Linked DNA regions of Struthio camelus. The protein of the gene in region 1 interacts with the protein of each later gene in a pairwise test. Links are inferred from orthologs where the notes say so. Each region holds a gene or a part of one and is shown in the gene's direction. Other genes may lie near its edges. The genes, in order: NPAT and HINFP.

The links.
Region 2: the proteins of NPAT (region 1) and HINFP interact in a two-hybrid assay, tested with the Homo sapiens proteins (2 studies listed by BioGRID). The link is inferred for Struthio camelus from reciprocal best matches to the Homo sapiens genes NPAT and HINFP.

Annotation. Positions count from the first base shown.
Region 1 is NC_090942.1:205,612,350-205,624,151, forward strand, and holds the start of NPAT (protein NPAT), read left to right. Parts: upstream 1-6,716; 5' UTR 6,717-6,846; coding exon 6,847-6,883; intron 6,884-10,136; coding exon 10,137-10,255; intron 10,256-11,802. Other genes in the region: serine-protein kinase ATM, read right to left, coding at 1,742-1,906, 2,326-2,471, 3,863-3,975, 4,058-4,129. UniProt on the Homo sapiens protein: Required for progression through the G1 and S phases of the cell cycle and for S phase entry. Activates transcription of the histone H2A, histone H2B, histone H3 and histone H4 genes in conjunction with MIZF.
Region 2 is NC_090963.1:3,070,995-3,082,561, forward strand, and holds HINFP (histone H4 transcription factor), read left to right. Parts: upstream 1-5,766; 5' UTR 5,767-5,955; coding exon 5,956-6,118; intron 6,119-6,356; coding exon 6,357-6,583; intron 6,584-6,772; coding exon 6,773-6,884; intron 6,885-7,405; coding exon 7,406-7,558; intron 7,559-7,901; coding exon 7,902-7,979; intron 7,980-8,073; coding exon 8,074-8,194; intron 8,195-8,308; coding exon 8,309-8,447; intron 8,448-8,742; coding exon 8,743-8,867; intron 8,868-9,585; coding exon 9,586-10,102; 3' UTR 10,103-10,877; downstream 10,878-11,567. Other genes in the region: POU2AF2 (POU domain class 2-associating factor 2), read right to left, coding at 2,469-2,472. UniProt on the Homo sapiens protein: Transcriptional repressor that binds to the consensus sequence 5'-CGGACGTT-3' and to the RB1 promoter. Transcriptional activator that promotes histone H4 gene transcription at the G1/S phase transition in conjunction with NPAT.

The DNA of each region.
Region 1 (11,802 bases):
AATAAAAGCAACTTGTTTCACCTAATGGATTCCTGACTTCCTCTAGATTTATGTCCTTTGGTCCTGCCATACTTCAGTAATTACCTTCCCATGTCCCTTATTATCTAACCTCACAGTTTCTCTTCCCAGACATCCAGCCTCAGTCCATACCTCATAAAGAGACTCAGCTCACTTCCATGTTTCTAAACTACCTCAGACTAGTAAACAATAACTCTTCATGGCTCCTCATGCAACCTGTATTGTACCACGGCTCCTCATGCAACTCAGCCTCAATTTCCCTTCTCTGCCTTCTTCAATATCTGTCTCGGACTTCCCTGGTTTCTTGTCCCATTGCCTTTGTGCCCAACTTCAGTTCTCCCTGAGTACCCAGCTCTTTTTCAGATGCCTTCTCTGATTATTGCTCTGAACTCCAGTTCCCAGCCTCCTTATCCAATCAGTCCACATCCTTGCATTCTGCTCCAGCCTGTAGGTTGACAGCCCCTTTGTACTTTTCCCTTCGCTGGCTCCTAGTGTCAGGCAGTCTCCCCACAGTTTCAGCTTCCCCTTCAACTTCCAGTCCTACCTCCATGGCCAAATGCTATCAACTCCTTTAACCTCCCTGATCCCACTCTCAGCCTCTCTATTCATCCAGTCCCATCTTCTACCCCGAACTGTTCGGTCTCTGTGCTCTGCTAGCCTTCATCACAGTTCTGTTCACCTCCCCCTCCACTCTCACTATAACCACACTCCTCTTCCAAGTTCTTTGCAGGTTCATTTCTATTCTGGAGTTAAGCAACCCTCTTCAAGCTACAGAGCAGATTTTTTTTTTTAATAAATACTTTTCAGAAATCCAAACTCTTGACTGACAACAACTTCTATTGCTATTTGCATAGCACAGTGCTTTGTACTTCTACACTTTCTCCACAATTACACATGCGAGATTGAACAAACTAGACTAAAATTTCTAATTCCTTCTTTTCTCAAGTTACTAATCATCTGTGCTATTACATAAACAAATTAAAATAGATGAGTTGAGAGTTCACTACATGCCAGTTAGATGATTCAAAACATATCCAGCCTGGAGAAGAACATTTATAAGTTAATTGTCTTGGAGTCAAAACCAAATCTCTGAAAAGTAAAAAATTATGTTTGCTTTTTCCCCTAGCAGTGGAGGTTGCACGCCAGACCAACTTTTAAATCTGTTTTAATCTATTTAAACCTTACACGTTCTCATCTTTTCTTTATATGTAGTATTAACATATAACAACGTTGAATCCACGCTTTTTAGGGCCTTCGTGAGCCAATAAAACTCAGATAATAAAATTTAATTTTAGTACATTAACTATATCAAACCTATAGCAGTCAATACCTAATAACAACTTGCCAACAACTGTACACCAAGACCAGTTTTACTGAGACTATTTCTTCTATACAAACTCCATGGATTCGTAATATATGTTATCTCCTGCAGAAAACGTGCATACATATACTCATTGTATAGAAACACTTACGTTTCAGCAGGAAATAGACAAATAATATGCAAAAAGAAGCAAAGCAATAAAGATTAACGATTGATTTTATTTCAGTTGTAAGTCTTCAGGGCTGACCCTACCTTTCTTCATGTGTTTTGTCTCGTACCTCATACAATGTGTAGTACCTCACGCAACAGGGCTTTGCAGTAATAGCATCAGACAACTAAAACCCATCTAAACATACTTTCATAATAGGAAAAGACACTCGTAAGTAGGCTTAAAAATGTTACCTGACCACTGCTGCTGGGATATCTCACACCAGTATCTCCTTACTGAAAGGATATCCTTTAGGAGTATACTACTACAGTCAGCTCCGTAAGCTGCACAACTTGTTGCATCTCTCATGATTTTCAAGACATAATTCAGAAGTTCCTGACACTTCAGTCTGGGTCCTCCTATGTAAAGAAACAAAGTGAGCATTGCAATTAATCCAAAGCTTGCATAACAAACCCGGAATTAATTGCTTGCAAAATGATCATTTCCATATTCACTATTAAAAAAAAAATGCAGTTCAGAAACAGTTTTGCTGGAGATCATATTTTTAAACAAACTGTCTCTAAAAACAAAATTACTTACAAGAAGAGAAAGGATACACCAGTTATAGGCAAAGCAAATAATTAAAAAGGCATTGTCAACATCAACAAGGTAAGTCATACAAAGAACTAATGCAAATAAAGATATTTAATTTGTAAACAACTGAGAGTGGGCAAGATGAACCCCACCCTGACAACTTGCTTCAGAGCAAAAATTCACAGTTGAAAGTAAAGCACCAAATAAAAGAATCAGTGATTCTACATGGACATGTATTACTGACTTTTATTAGCACGTCTGATGAAGTATTTGACCAAACTGCCAATCTCTTGCATCTTTTTCTGTCTGGAAGTTTGCGTTGAAACAGATACATTTGGTTTTGTCAGTCTGAAGCTTTCCATCTCTTTCTGGAAATATTTCTGCAGGACTCTTCAAAAAAAACACCAGAGACATTAATCAAGAATCTGCACGTTTTTGACCTAAGTAAAATAAGTAAACATTGTTTGCACTTAGAATTCAAGTGCTTGCTCATTTAGCAATTCTGATTCTAAAGCTCTGTTAAACACCAAAATACATTACAGCGTAACCATGATAGGAATAGTTTATAAAAGGAGCTGAGATGATCCAGAAGGAACTCGGATAAGAACTGAATATTCCTACATACTTTGCATAATGCTAAACATACAATCCATGATAACGAAAAAAACAATATCGTTATTTATGCTGCGACTTATAGCACAAAATAGTAAGAAATACTTTTTACTGGCTGTATTGGGGAAAACCTTGAAGTCCTTCTGCTTTTAAGCTCACTTACAGTCGACTGGATGTTTTAACTGAATATTTTTGGACTTAATAGATATGCACTTCCTGAAAAAATACAAACCTTCCAGCAGTGTGGAGAAGGTATTATCCATTTATTACAATAACAATTCTCTATCATTTAAAGTTAATATGTAATACAAATAGATTAAACGTTTTACTGGCTTTGTTGCAATTTCTGTAGATTTTCTGGCTTGTTATTTGTATTCAGTTTAGAGTCTGGCCATCTCAAAAGCAACATAAGAAATTTACTGAAAAGTTCTTACAGTATTTTGCTACAGGTGTAAAACAAGACCCATTCAAATGCCATCCAATTAAAAAATATTCTGTAAATCTGCCCAGATGCCAATCTGTAAAAACTAATACTTCAGACACACTTTAATATGAAAACTGCAGTGGGCCCAACTGCTCTAAAAACTTATCCCGCTCCCACTCAGTCCAATCTTGTAGTACACCTAAAGCAATTATATCAAAGATGGGCCTCTACAAACCTCACAGCATGACCTCTTTAGCTTATAAGGCACAGTCCTTCTGCTGTGTCTTGAAGAATTCAGTTACAGAAAAATTTTAAATGAGATACTTAAAATCGACATATGAACTATAAATTGAAAGTCAGATGCAGAGGATATTTTTCAGTAACAGAAAGTAACTATTATTTTTGCAAGAAAAGCTAACCACCTATTAACAATCAGTTTCTCAGGAGACGGTTCTAGTGTTTGTACATTTACAACGTGCTGTGTGCCCCTGCATCTTCTGTAAGTGGAAAGTGTTGTACTCAGATGATTGATGCATTATTTGGCTATTTTAGATTTATTTCTTTTAGAGAGTAACATAAGTCATTTCTTGACTGACAAGAAGCCTCAATCAATCCGCAGGAAGATAAGCATTTAAATAAGCCTGATAAACAAAATAGTGATGTTCCATGCAAGAAACATGACCTTTCACCAAAAAAAAAAAAAAAAGAAGAAAAATGCTTTGCTCTGGACAGTAAAAGAACCTACCCAAATACAGCATCCCAGCTGAGTTGCTTTGCTTGTTTAGAATCAGAATTCCGGTCCAGTTGGAGAACTGTTTCAGAATCACGGAGCAGTCGCTTGAAATTTTCAATTTCTTTCTGAAAATGTATTTCAGGAAAAAAAAGGTTATTAATCATTCCCTTCATTGAGAATGATATATACCAGAAGAAACCTTATTACCCTTCGCTCTGTAGCTTTATCATTCTCAAGGTGACGGCAACAAACGAGCAGATCATGTAACACAAGACTCATGGTTCAGTTTAACAGGACAGTCATTTGCATCTGCAAACAGAAAAAAAGGATGAAATAAATTATTTTATTTAACACAGAGCCAAGTCAATCAGTTCAAAATTTTGAATTTTCAATATATTGCATTTCCATGTCAAATACAACAGCTTTACTTCACTCAAAAGCTCATTCCTCTCTGGGTTGGTGCTATTGCTCACAAGACAGAAGTAGAAAGTGTCATGTCAAGAATGCAATCTATTCCGAAGAGCAGTAGTTGTGGACAAAAACAGAAAAGGGTCCTTTCACATGACTGACTTCCTTCTTTTTAAGGCTAATGAAAGAGCAGAGAGTCGATGAGACAATACAGACTGAAACATGAACGGTAATGAGAACACACTCGGCTCTATGTCATTTTAATCAGGCAAACAGCACTAACTTTCAGGACATAGCAGTTATCAGAAGCACTTTTAACCTGATGAGGAAAAGGCAGCTCTTTGAAAATAAAACTTTCTTCCACTCTAACCTTCTCTATTATACAGCTATGCACCATTATATTTACAAATGCCTCTGGACTCCAAATACCACAAGATGCTCAAATATCAACGACAGGAGAAAAATACTTTTTTGCTTCTATTACTACTTAAGATTATGCCCTACCTCTTTTAACATACGTCCGAATCAGATCAACCTTACATTTCTGGTTTCCAGAAAATTATGTTGACGCAGATCATGACAATGAAATTGTATGCAGCGTCCATGCTTCTCCTTGTACCCTTTCCCTTAAACTAGCCTCAGGACAAACTCTTATCTGAAAAACAGAGATGGACATGCTGGAAGTAACACCAAGCATATGCTGCTGAAGCTGCAGTATGAAGCTGAGAACTGGCATACATGATGCACATCACTGGCCCCGGAACACTTAAGTAAGAATATATAAATAACCATTTAGCTGAATAAGGCAGTTAAAACTTTAAAGATCTACCGTCTTATACAAACATCATCTTGCTTTCATCTTCTTTGGATTCAACAGAGATCACGCTGAGACAAATGGGTTTCTTCATATATGTCTGGAAACCACATTTTAATAGCAAATTATTTTGACTGCTTTATAATCCACGTGATTACTTTGACCGCATTAAAAACCGAGGTGAGGAGAAAAAGGACAGAAGAGTTGACCAATCTGTGGAATAACCAGGGGCAGGGGTCCCTGACATATACCCTTCCCAAAGCAAAAACAAAACAGCAGATTTCAAATGTTTGACGTTTATGCCATCTATACAGCGCATCACAGGAAAAAAAAATACTGAGCACGTTCTTTGACAAAAGGTCAAACTTGACAGATAGTCCTGTGCATAAAACTCTGAATATTGAGAGCTCTTGTTCCTCTAGAAGAGTTCGAACCTCTGTCTTTAATCCCCTAAGATCATCTTTCCATCTTATCACAGTGCTAGGATTTATGGGAACATCACGACTTGAATGGCCTTTTTCCTGTCACATATTCATGTGCCCACCTTCCTGTTCTCTTCCTTGTAAATCTGTGTCTTAAAGGTGACCAGAACTGAGAACTCAAGACAACCGTGAAACACAACGTTAAGGCACCACCATGTAGTAGTGGCAGCTAGCAGCTAAGATGGATGGAGACAGTCAACACGGAAATGGAGCTGAGTAAACATGACCAGAAAGGGATGGTGGCTAGTTAGGTATTGAGGAAAAGGAACCTATGGCAAGCTTGAAAGGCCTGCTCTGGCGTACAACTAAGCTCAGTTAAGCAAGGAAGCATTCCTCTACTAACTTGCTACTTATGCCGAAAATAACCGAAAGCAAGAAACAACATTTCACATGCTAAAGGCTTCTAAAACATTGATGGGATGAAAAATTAAGGGTTGACTGAGAACTGTGGCAACACGGGGTTGTATGTTGTAGGGACTGGGGCTCAAGAAGAAAGAGGGCCGCGTCTTCTTTTACTGGCATTTAAAGGTATTTTAACTACCATGACAACAACAGTGACAAGTTCCTAACACTGTACGCACTTGCCGTTTCTCTTTGCAGCCCAGTCGCCAACTACCAAATCATGACGGCACTCATCCCCTTTCAAAAAAAAAAAAAAATACCTGGGACAAGTGGGACAAGGAAGGAGCCCTTTAAAAACAGCAGACACGCACCGAGCGCTCCTCACCGAGCTACGCTACAGCGGCCCAACCGCCACCTCGCGGGTAACCACAGCCGACCACCCCAGCCCGCCGCCAGGCGAGCGCCGGGCCGCCGCCGCCGCCCGCTGCCTCCCCGCCGCCCGCCACCCGCCGCGCGGGCCGCCCCTCAGCACCCGCGCGGGGACCGCGCCTCGAGCAGCCCCTCAGCCGGGGCGGGGGCAGGCATCGGGAGGGCACGGACGGGCAGGAGCAGGCCCACCTCTGAGCGGCGTCAGGGGAGCGCAGCGCAGCGCGGGCGCGCGGCGGCGGCTTAACGGCCGGCGGCGGCGCGCGCCCCCCTCGCGGCGGCGGCGGCGGGCGAGGAGAGGAGAGGAGAGGAGAGGAGAGGAGCGCAGCGCAGCGCACGTGTGGGCGGCGGCAGCGGCGGACCTGGAAGCGGATGCGCGGCGGCGGGTTCCGGCGGAAGGGGCCGGGCGGGGCGCTGGCTGGCGGAGTTTCCGCGCCTTGCCCTGGGTGGCGGGGCGGCCGCGCCGCGCCTCGGGGGGCCGCGTTCGCCGCGCCCGCGCCGCCTGCCCCTCCGCGCCGCGGGTCATGCTGCTGCCGTCCGACGTGGCCCGGCTGGTGCTGGGTGAGTGCGCGCGGGCGGGGCGGGCACCGCCGGGCCCGCGGAGGCGGCCGCGACCGCGGCCGCGCAGGGCGAGGGGAGGGGAGAGGCGAGGAGAAGCGAGGAGGGGGCTCCGCCGGCCGCTGACAGGGCGCTCGGGGCGGCAGGCGCGCGGAGGCAGCCGCTGCGCCCTTGAGCCTCGGCCGGCGCCGGGCCGTGGCCGCCCGCCGCCGGGGATGTCACCCGTGTCCGCGGCGAGGCGCAGTGCCTGGGCCGCCCCGGGGCGGTCGGGCGGCCTTGGGCCCCGCTTTTAGCGGGGAGCGCGGCCGGTTCGCCGGCGGCTTTCGGCCCCCGCGAAGGCAGCGGCGGGGCAGGTGGAGGCGCCACGTTGTGCTCGGGCGGGTGCTGCGTCGGGAGCCGCCCGGGAGCGGCGCTGAGGTGACTCCCGGGAAGGCCGGTGGGCTCTGCCGCCTCCTTGTGCGGGCGGGGGCTGGTGGGCGAGACTGGGGGGAGCCTCTGCTCTCAGCACCAATCCCGGTGGTCCAAGAGGCCAGATGAGAACAGGTGAGGGTTCAGCTGGTTTTTCTTTCCCTGTTTCCGTGAGCCGCGAGGTCAGATCGAGAACTCCCTTCTGTGGTGCGCGCTGCGTCCGTGGGAAGCATAAAACAAGTGTTTTCAGGACCTTGACAGCAGGGAGGATAAACTGCTAAAAAGACTTTACGCTTGCAATGTTTGGTCACAGCCAAAGATGAGAGCAAGTGGCCGTGGATTGGAAGTAGGACCCCTATATGTAATAGGTACGCTGTCAGCAGGTACTGGTCCAGGTCGCTAAGATTTCCTGGCAGTTTTCATAGCAAGATGCTGTTTTCAGGTGCACAGACAGCCTGGGCAGATTTTGCCAGTCAAAAACCAGTGAGGCTGAATCTTTTCTTTCGTCTGTCTGCAGTTCTATTTATTTTTAAACGCTACCTGAAACGTTTGTTGTTGCTTTTCGAGAACTGAGCGTAACAACAGAAACATTGTTTTTATTATTGCAAAGTAATAGGATTTTTTTCAAATTCTGTGCATTGTAAAAGAACACTTACAATTTGGCGCGGGATATCTCTTTTTGGCCATTTACTTGCTATACTTTTCGATAAAATTTTGGTTAAGTTGTAAGTTTCTTAGTAAACAGTTTATCTCACGTGCTGCGTAGAGACTTGTAGATAGAATAAAAATTTTGAACGTTTCGCGTGTATTGAGGATGCTCCGTCCTATCTTGCGTCTGTTGTGGCGTAGTGCATGCAGTAGTCCTAGAAAATCTCTGAGCAACCCAAGATTGTAGAACAGGATATTCTTAACAGTTATTTTTGTCTTCTAATAGCGATTGCTCCTCTCTGAGGCATCTGAATTCTGAGCAGATCAACAGGCTTCCTAGCGCAGTTCCTCTTCCTTTTTTTTTTTTTGTTTTTCTCTAGCAAAGTCTTTTTGGTGCTGTGAGTGTTGATGAGTATTGATTTAAGAAACAGAACTAAAATGGTAAGATGAGCTTGCCTGTAGAAAAAGGCATAAGCAAATTTATCGTTTTCTAGGTAAAGAGTGAATGAGTACTGTAAGGTAGACCATAGGTCTTCACATATATTAAGATAGAACAAAATGTTGAATACTTTCTAGTTCAGCAGGCACTCTTCCTTTTGTGCCTCTAACTTGTTTTTGGTAATGTTGAAGGTTGTATATGATTCTGTTATTGTAATGTACGTGCACAGACAATTTAAGTTCAGTCGCCGTTATCTGCAGGAAATTGATGTATGTGCCAAATAGGCCTGTGTGCTGGCATTCAGTCATCCTTCGCAATAGGAGGCTCAAGAAAGAAATTGCAACTGTTTTTTAGCAAAGATCCAGAAGATGGGTTTGATCTGTGCTGGTATGGCTGTTCTTACAGTCGAACTCCCATCTAGCTTAATGCCCTGTCTGTAATACTGGTCAGCAATGGATGGTACAGCAGACAGGCATAAGACTGGCATGTAGGTGTATTTCCCCCAGTGTGCCCTCAGCTTCTAGCAATTTGTGGTTTGAGGATTTTCTAACAAAATGTATTTGAAACATTAAATATGGCAGCCCTCTCTATTCCGCAGGTGCCAACTACATTTTGTCCCATATGGGCTAGCTCGTACATCCTAATGAAACTCTCAGCAGTTATTCTCAAACTGTGTTTAACTTTGAAGTTTATTTGTCGGAGGCCTGTGAGTGTGAAAGCTGATCTACTTTTTCTAGCTATGCTTGGATCTGATAAAAGATATTATGTCTTCATGTGAACTTAAAGGCAGGATTTTTCTATGGACTTTCCTGAACTGAGGCAGGCTGTTTTGGGGTTCTGTGTGAATATGATTAGGTATGTGTATTTTAACTCTTTAAACGATTGCGTATGCAGTTCTGCTACAGATAAGAAAGAAAAGGCACGATATTTTGTTTTATGGCTCTTTTGTTCTGTAATCCTTTACTCAGATTGATCTAGCTTTACCTTTTAGCGTTTAGACTATTTGAAGATTAAAGCGGGATTTAAAATACCTTAAAAGAGCATATTAACTGAGGACTGGGATTTTGAAAAAGTGAACTTTTTCAGTATAGTTCCTGGTAAGATAACTACTGAGTCTTGGGGTAGGGTATATAAAGTGTACAAGTGTACACTAGAATACCTATTAAAAATGAAAATTACGGTAAGTAGAAAAACAAAATACTGATTTTGTAAAAATAATTTTTATATAATGTCATTTTTGGAAGAAATCTAATGCGCTGTCTTAACGATGCATATGTTCTACCTGTTCTGAAGCTGGAGAATTTATGGAGAGTTATTGCTGCACAGCAATGCATTTTATTAATACAGTACTATAGAATTCTATTTGTTTATAAAACTAGATGTTTATAATCAAAACCCATGTGTGAGTTTATTCCTGACTTAAGAAGTTGATATTTTCTTTCTTGTCTGTACAGTGCTATGTGTACTAACGATCAGTCAGAAATTGTTCATATTGTCTCACTTCTAGTCTTGAACAGTTTGTAAATCCAGTACAATGTTAATAATATGTGCTCTTTCTGGTTTTAACTATTAAAGGAATACGTTGCAAGATAGGTGTTCTTTCATAATGACTTCAGTTTCCTTATCTAATGCATGAATCCTTATCTAATTGTTCCAACGTTATATCATATAGTTGGTCGTATTAATGCTTCAATACCTACCAAGCACAACATGCAGAAATAATGAATAAAATAGCAAAGTCTTCTGTCTGATTTATTGCAGGGTATTTACAACAGGAAAAGCTTTTAGCTACCTGCCGTGAATTTATTTTGGAAAGCTCAGATTTGAAAGAATATGCAGAGCACTGTACAGAGGATGGGTTTATTCCGGCCTGCTTGCTGGTGAGTTTGTATTTGTAACACAGCAAGTTAAATTGTGTTACAGCCGCGGAAGAGAAGCCTTTTTTTCCCCCCAAAAAGAGTTTTCAGAGTTTTTTTCAGAATACATATGAACAGTGTAACAGTTGCTTCTCAAATGGTGCTTAAGCTGTTTAGTTTGATGGTCATCTCTATTTCTCAGCATCTTTCAATATTTAACATTACTAATAAATAGTTAAGAGGAAAATATGCCAATTGTGTTCAGCATGTTACATTTAGTCTGCTTCATTGTTTTCAAGATTGATATATACAAGGGTGTTCCAAGCATTTTAATTGATTTCAGGATTGCTCTAGTGATTTATTGAAGATCACTTCCTTTTTTTTTAGATACAGCAGTCGGTAATGTTCTCTTTCATGTAAATACTAATTTAGGTAAGGTGCCTCAGCTTTATTTGAGCGTGTCAAAAATTGGTGAAAACAGCTATGTTTTGATTCAGCTTCCCCTTTAATCAGTATGATCTGCTTTGTGCCAGATGAAACGTGGAACTTTGGGCATGGGTATAAATACAACGTGCAGCTGCGTACGTAGATAGGTGCATATAACTACAGGACAACTTGATGCTTTGCACTTTCAGCATATATGACCTGAGATTTTTTTAGTTAGTAACAAAATTATAGGTTTTGGATATTGCTATATATCAAACTTTTGATATTTGTATGTGTATCTTCTTCCCGTTTTGCATTCCATTCTTCTAACGTACCACTCAATCATGTAGTCTGGGATTTTGTCCACAATATTGAAAGTGTGTGGAACTCTTCTGAGATCAGTGATCGTGATACACGTATGAGCATGGAACTTCTTATTTCGTTAACAAGTGTCTAGTCATCTATACTTTGGGAGCAGTGGGGGAAGGGAATTGAGAACCAAGCTATGGCCAGGAAGAATTAGACTAACAACTGTAAGTAGAAAGGATTTATTCGTATTCTTTAAGTTTTTGATTCTCTTCCTTTTCTCAAGAGATACCTTTTTCCTATTTTTCATAGAAAGGTGATGATATTATAGCATAAAGAAAAAAAACTCACTGCAGCGCAAAATACTTGCAATTCAGTAAAGTGCTTTTGTCAGGCATGTGCTGTAGGAGTTGCTACAAGTAAACAAGACAGAAAGGTACAGTAAACGATAGCAATAATTTGAAAATTTTATTTCTCTGTTTCACCTAAAATAACAGAACAAATAAATATGAAATGAAAGTTAATAATAGTAATTGTACTTTAGGCAACAGCTCTGTTCAGGTTTGCATCTTTGTGCACTTTGTTCCAGGATGGTGCATATTTGTTAACCCAGGGTAGGTGCTCTTAATCTTATTCTTGTGTCTTTAGTCCATAAGAACAAAGACAAGTCAAGCTGAAGTCATGCAGATCTGAGTGCTGTACCAATGGTGTGCAACAAGATCATACACTTAAATTTTTTGTTCAGAATGACATTTTGGTTCATAGATTGTTCTCTACCCCTTCTGAGACAACTCAGCACCAGCAGCTTCAAGTACAGTTCTTTGTGTTTAAGGTTACCA
Region 2 (11,567 bases), on another chromosome or scaffold:
GGCTCCACAGTACCGTCGTGTGACTTGGTCTGAGCAGAGCTCAGGAAAAGCAAAGGAGTTGGCTGCTCAGTCTGCTTGGTATCCACAGCAAGTACAGACAGGTTCTTGGGAGCTCTGTTGTTTTAGCAAGGGGAACAAAGCCCATAAGGCACAAAGAGGGGTACCGCGTCTTAGCCAGGTCACCCGGAGGCCGGCGGCCGGCCTGGCTTCTGTTTTCTCAGCCTCCCTGAAAGCCAGCAAAACCTGCACATCGTGTCTGTGCGACTTTTGGTGCATCTGTCCCCTTCCCCTGCCTGGGTAAATCTTTGTGAGATCTGCTGTGGGTACAGGTGTTTTGGTGCAACTGAGAGAGAGAGGTACGGCGTACAATACCAGGGGCAACTTTTTATCCTGGCTAGCAGGCTGTGCCTGCACAGAGAGCTCACACCTGTGGAGCCAGGGAGGAGTGTCCAGAAGGGCTCTCATTGAAATGTTAAGACAAGAACTCAACTTTGAAGCTAATCCCTTGGAAAACAAGAAGCCATGTTCCCTCTGAGGGAACAGAGACAGCTATACTGCAGCTGAAGTGTTTGATCTCTAAAATTGTGATTTATCATTTTCCCTTCTGCTTTTCAGGATGTGGCATTTGGTTCCATTCATCATTTTCATTCTGGTGGCATTATATCCCCAGGTGCACATGCACACGGAGAGCTTAGAAAGGGAAGCGTTGAAGGCATAAACAATGCAGAAAGTTGATGCTGGCTTGGGGTTACCCCAAATGTCTTCTGGTGGGCCACAGTGACTGCAGTTGTTGGGCAACTTCAGCTTGGGTTTGGTGTTTGAATACTGACCAGAAACTTCAGCCAAGATTGGGCACAAGGCAAATAGTCTGCAAGAGACACTCGCTGCCCCCAAAAGCTTATGACTGAAATAGTCAAAACAGAAGTGGACATTGAGTCTGTGTACGGACCAGCCAGTATTTCTGGGTAAGCCGGCGCGCGGCCAGGCATGGATATCAACTCTTCCAATTCGGAAGAATCTGCCTGTACGCTGAGGCTGGCTCTCTTCCATGGCCCTGGCACTGAGTTTCCCTCCTATGATCCCTTCCCAGGGCTGTTTTCACTGAGAGCAGTTGGAAGCAGAGGGTGCCCTGGGTACCCCGGAGTTCGGACGCTCTGGCGGCGCGTCTGGGTGTGACTGGTAGAAGCAGCGACAGCTTCTGCACCTGAAGCTTTGTGGCTTTGCCTGAGCGTTTCTTCAGGGACACAACACTGCAATTTGATGGGAGAGCGCGAACCGGGTGGTGCGGTACAGAGCGCTCCATCCTGGTTTAATACCTAAGGTAACTCAGGCAGCCTTGCTAGCTGCCTCCAGCTGAGGATTCAGGCCTTGATTCAGCTCAGCACCTACATGGGGGCTTGATATGAGGAATGTGCCTAAATTCCCAAGATTAGCTTTGGATATAAGTTTCTGAGGGGGGCCCAAGCCAAGAACACACTCTCATATTTGATTTTCAGAACAGGGCTGTTTCTGTCAGAGCATCACTGAAAAACTATGAGCAGAGATGTTCAGTAGGTGAGCGGAGCGAACGGGTTTCCTCTCAGCTAGCGTTCAGGGCTGATTTGAAGTGGAGTCTGGCAATTGTTTTAGGAGGATCAGAGCCAGTTAAAGCTCTGTGCTGTGCCCCCCCTGCCAGTAAGTTGTCACGGTACCGCAGCTGGAACAAGAGATGAATTTTTTTTATTCTGCAGTCTGATATTCCCAGATACTGCAGCCTCTTCTATTAACTGCCCTTGCTCCTCTGCGATCATTCCTCCCAGCAAGCGTCTGATGCTCTGCACTTCTTCAGTACTGTTTTCCTATCATCATCATAACAGTCTGAAGACATTAGACAAACACTTCCACATACCCTTACTTTTACGCATGGGTACGCTGCTGTTGAAGTTACTTTGCTCATATGCCCATAAATTATGCCTAGGCTCAAATCTTCATAAGTAAGCAAGATAAGAGCCCTGTCCTCTGACCCCTTGTTTAGCTAAGTAGTCTGGCATCATGTAAGTGACTCTGTTGGTTTCAGTGAGTCATTCTGCAGGATCTGATCCGGAGCTATTAAAATGCTAAATAAGCCTGCTATTGGCAGCACCAGGGAAGGAAATGCTAATTTCCTAATTTAGGCCAGGTTTTATATATTTTTCGAGTAAATTGAATTGTATTTCACATCATTGTGGTTCAGCTCTCTTTCAGAAAAATATTACTCTGTGAAGGAATATGAATTCTGTTTAGAGGAGGCTGAACATGCTAATAGATATTGTTAAAATATTGGGCTATTAAGATCCCATATGTTGGTTTTAGACAATTCTGCTTTCTGAATTGATTTTACGTGAGCCCACAGATAACATGGTACAGTCTTTCCACAGTTACTCTTTACCATCAATATTTCCATTAAGATACATCTTTATATGTTGGAAAGTCAAGGTGCTGGGACTCACCCATTTCCGTTCTGGCCGCTGCTGACTAATTCCAGCTCTCAGATTCTGCAGGACTTTGGAGAAAGGCCGTCATGGGCTTCCCGGAGCAGAGTGAAGTCAGTGCTCATTCTCCGCTGATAACCAGCTGAGCCCGATGGAAATATGTTGTCTCAAATTTAGTGATGTCTCCACAATAGCTTGTGTGAGATTTGCTTAAATGCAAATATCTCCCATGTGCGTTTCACTCCCATTTGAATGGTCAGTGTGGATCAGTCTCAAAGGGTCTTTTTTCTGTCTAAGCTGACATGTCATGGATGAAAACTGAGCTGAGGTTTATCGATGGAAAAGTCTTTGGCTAAAATGAAAGGCCAGTAAGTCCTGCAGTGATGAGCTGTCTCCTTAGAGGAGAGGAACCTGGCTGCAGAACAAGGCTTGGAGCAAGAGCTCCAAGTGTGAGGCATCCAGGTGCTGCTGAAGAGCCGCATGGCAGTACTGTCCCACAGGGACCGCACAGGCTAGCTTAGGCGTTACACAATTAAAACTAGATCTAGGAGACGTGATGAACTCAGCAGGCTTTCCTGCTGGAGAGGGGCACAACTCGTAGCTGGGGACACCGGCGGGGGTGTCCTTTAGCAAACCCACATATTCCTGCGGGGAGGCCAGGGTTGGGCTTGCCGTTGTCCAGCCGGGAGCCCCCTTTCTGGAGAGCTGTGGTTAGTCTCCTGCCTGGTGACAGCAGGGGAAATGACGGCTAGGAAAGGACCTGTTCTTACGCTGCTCCTGGACCCAGAGAAAAGGGACTTTTGGCCTGGCTGGCTATAGCTATTCTTCTGTTCTCAGCCTCTTAACAGCAGCAAATCTACTTCTGCAATACTTGAATCAAGCAGCAGAGCTAACCCCTTAATGTTTCTTTAAATAATGCTTATGCCCTGATTCAGAAGCATATCCAAATTTCCTGTAAGGGAGCCCTTTTCCCACAGAACAGCTAGCACAACCCAGGAATAAGTTGAAGACTGGCTGCAGTGAGACAGCCAATCTCTGTAGCGTTTTGTGTGCAAGCAGAGTGGTACGTAGCAACGCGATGCTCATCTGACATGAGCACGACAAAACTGGCGCCAGTACATTCCTCACAATTAAATATTTCTCCTCTTGTGGAGCCCACTGTCAGTTTGTGGATCTATTAGATAGATCTGTCCCTCTTTGTAGTGCCATGCATTTTCGCTAGCACTGGCCCAGTGATGAATGTGGCCTGTCACTTACACTGCCTTCCCGGGGGAAGGCTATTAGTTTTTTAAGCGTATTTTTTTTTTTCTTCAGAGGAAAAATAAACTAAAAGGGGCAGCTGCTGGAAAGCTGCATATGTTCAGGCCGTCATGGAAAGCGGGGAAGGCAAAGCTGAAGTATCATAGAGAATAATTCCCCATATACTTAATGTACAGATTCAGGTATTCTGGCTGCTCAGATACAGAGCTCATGACCGAGAGGACACCGCACAGAAATCTGATGGAAAACTAGCTCCTGCACACAGAGTCTGTGGTCGCTTATAGTCCCCCTCCCTGTGGATGAGTCTTGTTTTGGCCAGTGCGTTACTGCCACCCCTCCTGGTATCCGCAGGTCCCTCGGATTTGCAGACAGCTAGTGGAAATGGCAGGAAGCACCAGGCAGGTCGGGGAAACCGGGCAGAGGTAAGGTCGCAGCAGAAGAGGGCTGTTTTTGCATTGTGAGCAACAGGCGTATTTTGCCCCCTGCCTCCTGGCAGACTTCCCGCCTGGGTTTGTCTCCTGTGCTGGACATATGTTTGCTTTGGGCAGGATATACAAGTGAAATCCTGGCTCCATGCAAGCTCAGCCTGACCGTTGCAGCTGTAGCACTGTCCGCCCAGGCCAGGTGTCTTCACCACCGATTACAAAATAATTGCATTAAAAACAGCAACTGATCCTGCAGAAAATAATTAAGCAGAGATGAAATAAAAACTCATCCTGCCTTCTCTTAGATGACACCCATCTCTTTTCTTATGTTTCCCTTTGCAAAAGCCTCAGGTCCAGGTTTACTCTACAGTTTAGTGCCTTTCATTCATCTTATCGGGTAGAGCCAGGGCATACAACAGGAATTACAGAAGCAATTGTGTATTGACAAGGCACACTTTATGACACATTTTATACAATCCCACTTGATTTTAGCATGGTGCCAAAGCAAACCTCACTAAGAATTATAGCTCTATTTTGTACTACAAAAGCCTGGAATAGCAGATGCAATATTCAACGTATATTTGTTTAATTCAAACTGTCATTTCAATCTGTCTTCTCATTACCAAGTGAAGAAAAAAAAAAAAGGTCTTGCATTATCTCACAGCAGGAACCGCAGTACTGATGGACAGTAATAGCGTTTGTACTCTGTGTTGGCCAGGGCATGCAGCTGTGCGTTATGCGATTGTAATCTCCCCTGGTGAGAGGAGTTGCTTGTTGAGACAACAAATAGCCACAGTGTTTGCCCTGGACATCCTCGAAATGAGCGAAGGCGCTAAAAATGAACGAGAGCGGCAACAGGGAGGCATTTGCGGCGCTTCACGCTCCGTCGCTGCGCCAGCCAGGCCCCGCGTGCAGCCTCCGGCTGCGCCCAACGCCGCTCCCCGCTCCCAGGACGTGGCTTCACCGAAAGCCACGTGGGTTAGTCCCGCTGCTGTCCAGCACGGTTGCGCTTATGGATCAAGTCAAGCCCGTGCACAAGGCCCTGCCGCGGTGGGCTTGCGCCGGGACGCCGCAGCAGCTGCTGCCGGACCCCCATTTTGGGCATTTTGGTGGGGCAGCCAGGAAGGCTTCGGTCCCGGTGAAGGGGTGCGAGGGGTGTCCCGGGGGGATGCTGCTGCGCTCTGGCCAGGCCCTGGGGGTCAGGGGTCACCCTGGGGGTCAGAGGTCACTCCTGGAGGTCAGGGGTCACACCAGGCGGGCTCATGAGCAGGCTGCGGGGGGGGGGGAGAAGGTCCCGGAACCTTTGCGCGCCGGACGCTCGTTTCCGCACGGGTCCGCTCGGCCGCCGCACGCGCGGGGCCGCCTCCTGCCTGGCGATTGGCTGGCGGCCGGGCGGAGGCGGCTGCTATTGGTCGGGCGGGCGCGGTCCGTTGGGATCCGGCGCCCCCAGGTGGGGGGGGAAAGAGCTCGGCGGGGGCCGGTCGACAAGTGCGGGCGGTTTTCCCGCCCCGGCGCGGGCCGCGGCGGCGTCTCCCGGCTGCGGGGCCACCGGATCCCCCCCCCCCCTCCCCCGCCCCGGGGCTGCGATCCCTCGCTCCGGGCCCGGATCCCCCCCCGGAGGGCCGCCCCAGGGAAGGGTGAGGGGCCGGCTGGGCCAGCACTGCCCGCTGTCGTGGGCTCGGCCCCGGCTCCAGCCGCCACCGTGAGCCCTCGCAGGGACTGCCCTGCTGTCACCGAGGCCTGCCCGGCAGCGTCCCAGGGGCGCCCTGGCCGGTTTGGGGTGAGCGGGGCAGCGCGGGAGACGTTCCTGCCCTGCCGCCATGCCTCCTGGAAAGGGTGGCAGGAAGGAAGCCTTGGTGCTGCAGTGCGAGTGGGAGGTTTGTTCCTACGTGGCCTCGAGGATGGAGGAGTTCTGTGAGCATGTGGCCCAGCACTTGCAGCAGCACCTTCCCAGGGAAAACCGGGACAAGGTGGACCCTCTCGGTAAGAAGTTACCGTCTTTGTTGTTTGTAGTGGGTCATAAGTCCTCTTCCTTCTCTGAGTTTCTTCACTGTGGGAAAAATGTCCTTTTCCTTAAGGAGAGTGGCTCTGCCGGTTGCGCAACTGGAATCTTATGGGGAAAAAAAAAAAAAAAAGAATTTCTCAGCCTACAGGGATCTGAGCTTTATTTGGGAGAGTTTCCCAAAATTTTATACGCTGGTGTCTCCTGTTTGTGTTGCAGAGGAATACGCATGTCTGTGGCAGGAATGTGGTTTCTGTTCGCCAGAAAGCTCAGCTGACCTCATCCACCACGTCTATTTCCACTGCTACCACACCAAGCTGAAGCAGTGGGGGCTCCGGGCTCTGCAGAGCCAGTCAGACGTGAGCTACTGCCAGCTGGATTTCCAGAGCCGCAATATCATCCCTGAGATCCAGGATAACTTCCTATGTCTGTGGGAGTACTGTGAGGTCAGAGCAGGGGAGCCAGTTCTACTTTCCTAAGTGTTGTCTGTGACTTGGCAGTGAAGGGGAAGAGAGCTGCGCTTTCCTGCATGCCTGCATGTTTGCTGTGTTTGTGCCTGGGGGGAAGTGTCTGTTGTGCTCTGGCTGAGGCAGGCTCGCGCTGATCTCTTCACCCTGTTCCCTCTGTCCCCGCAGAGGTCGTTCGATAATCCTGAGTGGTTCTATCGGCATGTGGAGGATCACAGTTTCTGTTCTGAGTACAAAGCAGCAGGGAAGGAGAACCGTGTGGTCCTTTGTGGCTGGAAAGGTCAGTGGGAGCATGCAAGGCCTTTCCGGAGAGCTCTGCGTGGGGCTGGATTGTGAGGGCTGTACAGGAAAGCTCTGCTCTCTTTGGTAGGCTCTCAGAGAGCCCCTCTTACTTCAGGAGCATGTGTGTAGTGCTGACAGTGAAATGCTCCTGTACAGTTTCTTTCAGGGGATCCAATGGTCTATTTCATATTAAACTTCTAATTTATAGTTAATTAGTACGTAGGAGAAGAGGCTCTGGTTTACTTGTTAGAATAATTGCTCTCTTCTGAGTTTGTGCAGTTGTCATAGCCGCTTGTGGGGTGAGGGGACCCGTGCTGGGTGTAGACTAGTGTCCTGATCATTCTGTATCTGTGCTGCATGGGCTCTTTTGGAGCAGAGCTGGTCCTGGCACAGGCAAGCAAGCTACCTGCTGTTCAGTCAGGTTGTGGAGCCTGAGACTCCTCTGTGGCCTGTCATAGGATGGAACAGACTCGGTAACTTTGTGAAGGATCCTAACGGTGTTCTGTTGTTTGTGTTCAGACTGTGATTGCACCTTCAAAGGGCGCTGCAAGCTGCGGGAGCACCTGCGCAGCCACACGCAGGAGAAGGTGGTGGCCTGTCCTACCTGCGGGGGGATGTTTGCCAACAACACCAAGTTCTTTGACCACATCCGTCGGCAGACCGCACTGGACCGTAAGCTCCTGCAGGCCCAGGGAGGAGTGGGTTGTAAGCAGGCGTGCTGGATTCCCTTGTGCTGTGTTGGAGAAGTGTGTTGCGTTTGCGACGGTTGCTCCCCGGTTCCTGCTACATTGGCAGCACAGGGCAAGCTGCAAGGGTGGAAGACAGATTGATCCTTAAAAGTGGTTTTATGTTTTGGCTTTGTGGTTAGTGTCTGCTGACTCTGGTTGCAGAGAAAGGTTCAGCAGAGCTGGGAACCTTTCTCATTTGTTACTGTTTGTGTTGTTTTCTCTGCTTTGATTTCTCTTTTTAACCACCCCTTTCCCTTCCCCCTTCTCCCTTGACCTTGATGTTGCAGAGCAGAGGTTTCAGTGTTCTCACTGCTCCAAGAGGTTTGCCACAGAGAGGCTGCTCCGTGACCACATGAGAAACCACGGTGAGTAAAGGCCCCTTCTCCCAACTGAGGCTCTGAGGAGTGTGTTCTCTCCTCTGCTCCGTGGTGATGTTTCCCACTCGTTTCTTTCGAGCAGTGAACCATTACAAGTGCCCCCTGTGTGACATGACCTGCCCGCTGCCCTCCTCCCTGCGCAATCATATTCGTTTCCGGCACAGTGAGGAGCGGCCGTTCAAGTGTGACTACTGTGACTACAGGTGAGGACCAGGGCTTCCTGTGTTTCTGGCTAGTGGCAGAGAAGTGCCCAGAGGCCTGTTTGTATATGCGCAGCACGCGCTGATCACCTTTGTTCCTTTACTGTTTCCTTGTAGCTGCAAGAATCTCATTGACTTGAGGAAACATCTGGACACACACAGCAAAGAGCCAGCCTATCGCTGCGAGTTTGAGGCTTGCAGCTTCACCGCACGCTCCCTCTGCTCCATCAAACTGCACTACCGGAAAGTCCATGAGGTAGGAAGGGAAGGAGGGGCTGTTCTGCTGTGCACTGACTCCCAGTAAAGCTGAGAAGCACTAACCATGACGTGCTGTACAGAAGCATAAGGAAAAAAGCTAAAGCCCTGTGAAGTGCCACAGGCTGACCAGGGCTGCAGGAGTGTGAGGTCAGGTTGCCTTTCTCTCTTCCTGCTGCAGTGATATGTTATGTTAGTCTTCACAGAGAACCTGATTCCTCCCTCAGTGTGTGCAGGCAGGTACCAGGCCCTCTGCATAGGCTTGTGGGGTTCTCACAATCCTCTCTGCGCTCCAGGGTGACTCAGAGCCCCGGTACAAGTGCCACGTCTGTGACAAGTGCTTCACACGTGGGAACAACCTCACTGTGCACCTCAGGAAGAAACACCAGTTCAAATGGCCCTCGGGGCATCCTCGCTTCAGGTACTGCCCTCCCTCAGCTCCTCCCTACCTCTGCTCTGGTGCAGGCAGCTAGAGCTGCCTTCTGCATCTTGCTGAAGCCAGCAGAGGTCTGGCAGTGATTGGGCTCTGATGTTTGTTTGCCTGTAATGTACTCGAGACCTGCTTCCCAGGGCTGGGAAGGAAGCCCTGGGCAGCAAGTGCTCAGTGGGATCAGACACTGGTGGAGCAGTGCTGGGTGGGAGCTCCAGCAGCGGGTCAGAGATTAGGGGTGTGGGCAGTGGTGCCGTTGCGGCTATATCCCTGAACTTGGCAGGGGCCAATTCTAGGTGTCCACCCTGGAGAGTTGCCCCAATTCAACTTCTTTCTTCTTGACAGCTGCCCCTCTGCTATGCCCTCTACAGGACTCTCTGATCTCCTCAAAGGGTTTCTCGAGCCTAAGGCTGGGAAGGAAAGAGGATGGATTTTGAATGTTCCCAGGGAAACAGGGTGGGGGAAGGAGATGGGCTTTGGAGATGATAGAGAGCAGGCAGAAAGCTCAGAAGCTGCCACATGAATGCACTTACTAGGAGGAGAGGCTCTAGGGTTTTTATCCTCCTTTGCCAGCATCATCCGTATAGTAGTGGGTGTTGGAGCCTAGAATATAGTACCCCTTCCTTGGGTGCTCTTTCAGGCTGCTGCTGTGCTCTTGGGAAGGGACTGCAGTGTAACCTGCTCCATCACCCCGCCTGTCTTTGCTCAGGTACAAAGAACATGAGGATGGCTACATGAGGCTGCAGCTGGTGCGCTATGAGAGCGTGGAGCTGACAGAGCAGCTACTGAAGGACCGTGAGAAGCAGGGAGAGGCCCTCGATGGCTCGGCTGAGTGTGTGGTGCTGTCTGAGGGTGAGGGCAACCTGCAGGCCATTGTTCTGGAGGCCCCAGCAGGGGCTCCCTCAGTGGAGAACAGTGACACTGAGCTGCAAGTGGCCCAGCTGCACCCTGCAGCCTACTCTAGTGGCAACCCTGAGACAGCAGGGCCGAGTGCCTTCGTCGGAGCAGCGCTGTCCTTGGAGCAAGAACCCAGCACCCCAACCAACCCCATCATCCGTGTGATGAACTGGACCAACGAGCTTGGGGAGAGTGAGACTGTTTATTGTGTCATAGCTGGTGAGGAGGAGCGGGCCGCGGTGCCTAGTGGGCTGGCTATGGAGCTGGAGGAGAATGTCATGGACCGTCTGCAGAAGACAGCTGAGGAGCTGGGCATCCAGATTGTGTGAGGTGCTCATCTGCCTCCCTGCGTATGGAAAACACAGGCCTCTGTGGGATGTGCTGGTGTGATCTGGTTGTGATGTGCTGGGGAAGAGGGCTGACCGGGTCTCTTCCCACGTGCAGCTGGCTAGCTTCCTTCTCTGTTGCTCCAGCCTCACTGGCTGCCAGTTCTGGTCTGTGTGGGGAGGTGGAAGGGGCTGGTCTCAGCTGCCAGACAAGAGATTTGAGCTGAAAGAGCTGTCTCCCTCTTTTAGGGATTAGGGGCAAGCCTCTCCCACCCTTCCACAAGGTTCAGTCTTTGCCTGGCCCAGGCCTTTTCTGCCTGGTTGCTCACTGGTGATGTGGTCCCTGCTGCTGTGTAGCCACGCTGTCAGGTCTTCCTGAGCCTGGTCTTCAGTCAGGACCTCCCCGAGCAGGGAGCTGTGCTGAGCAGACGCGGCAGGTGAGACCTGTGGCCCTCAGGCCTGTTCTCCCCCATACCTTGTTCCCCAAGGGGTGGCTTGCTCCACTTCTGCCTCTGTCAGCATTTCCCTTCAGGATGTCTCCTAACTCACTCAGCCAGTGCTGTTAACAGCATTTGCACTGCTGATCCCCATATACTGCATTGATCTTGTGAGAGGAGAGGGTTGGAGGTGCTACAGGCTACTGCTTCCCTGCAGCACTGGGGGTTTGGGGGCTTCCCAATGCTTTTGTTCTTCCCTGAGTTTCCTCCCCACATTGGGGTTTGGGCTCCTGACCAGGCAAAGTGTACTTGGGAGTGACTAATAAAAAGCCAGAATGCCAGGCCAAGTGGTGTGTGGTGTCTCCCTCAGCCCCATCCCGGCCAGCCAGGGTGAGTTGTGGTGTGACCAAGAGATCAAGCAGCCCAGGGCCTGCAGTGTGAGAGCCAGGCATGATGGTGCTGCCGGGAGCACTTAGTGGTGCTGCACGTTGCCATATGGTGCAGCTGACCGCTACCTTGGAGAGCGTGTTGTCCCATGTCCCCAGGGGTGGCACTGGAAGGCCAGGTTTGGCTCAGGTACTCCTGCTCCCTGGGGTGCATTTGATTTTGCTGCCTCCTGCAGCAAATCTCTGAATCTGCTGCAGTAGCCTGGGCTTGTGGGGTGAGGCAGCTTGCCCTTCAGGAAGTGGTTTGGAGAAGGACAGCATGAAGTTGATCTCCCCGGAGCAAGAAGGGCAACTATGGCCTTTGCTGCCCTCTGTGTGGAGGTGGTGTGACCAGATGGAGGTAGACAGGCAATTTCAGTGCCCTGACTGCTCTCTTGGGCCTGACACTGACTTTCTTCCTCTCTTCCTTTCTCAAACAGTTCAGTAAAAGCTGCTGGAACTCCAGGTTAGTGGGGAAAATCACGTTATGCTAAACCCCTGGCCATCTGCTCACTTTCTAATTACAAACACTGTGGGTGTGACTTGTGGCTGAGCCCTTGGGGTGGGGGGCACAAGAGCAGCCCCTTGGGCCTGTGCCACAGGCAA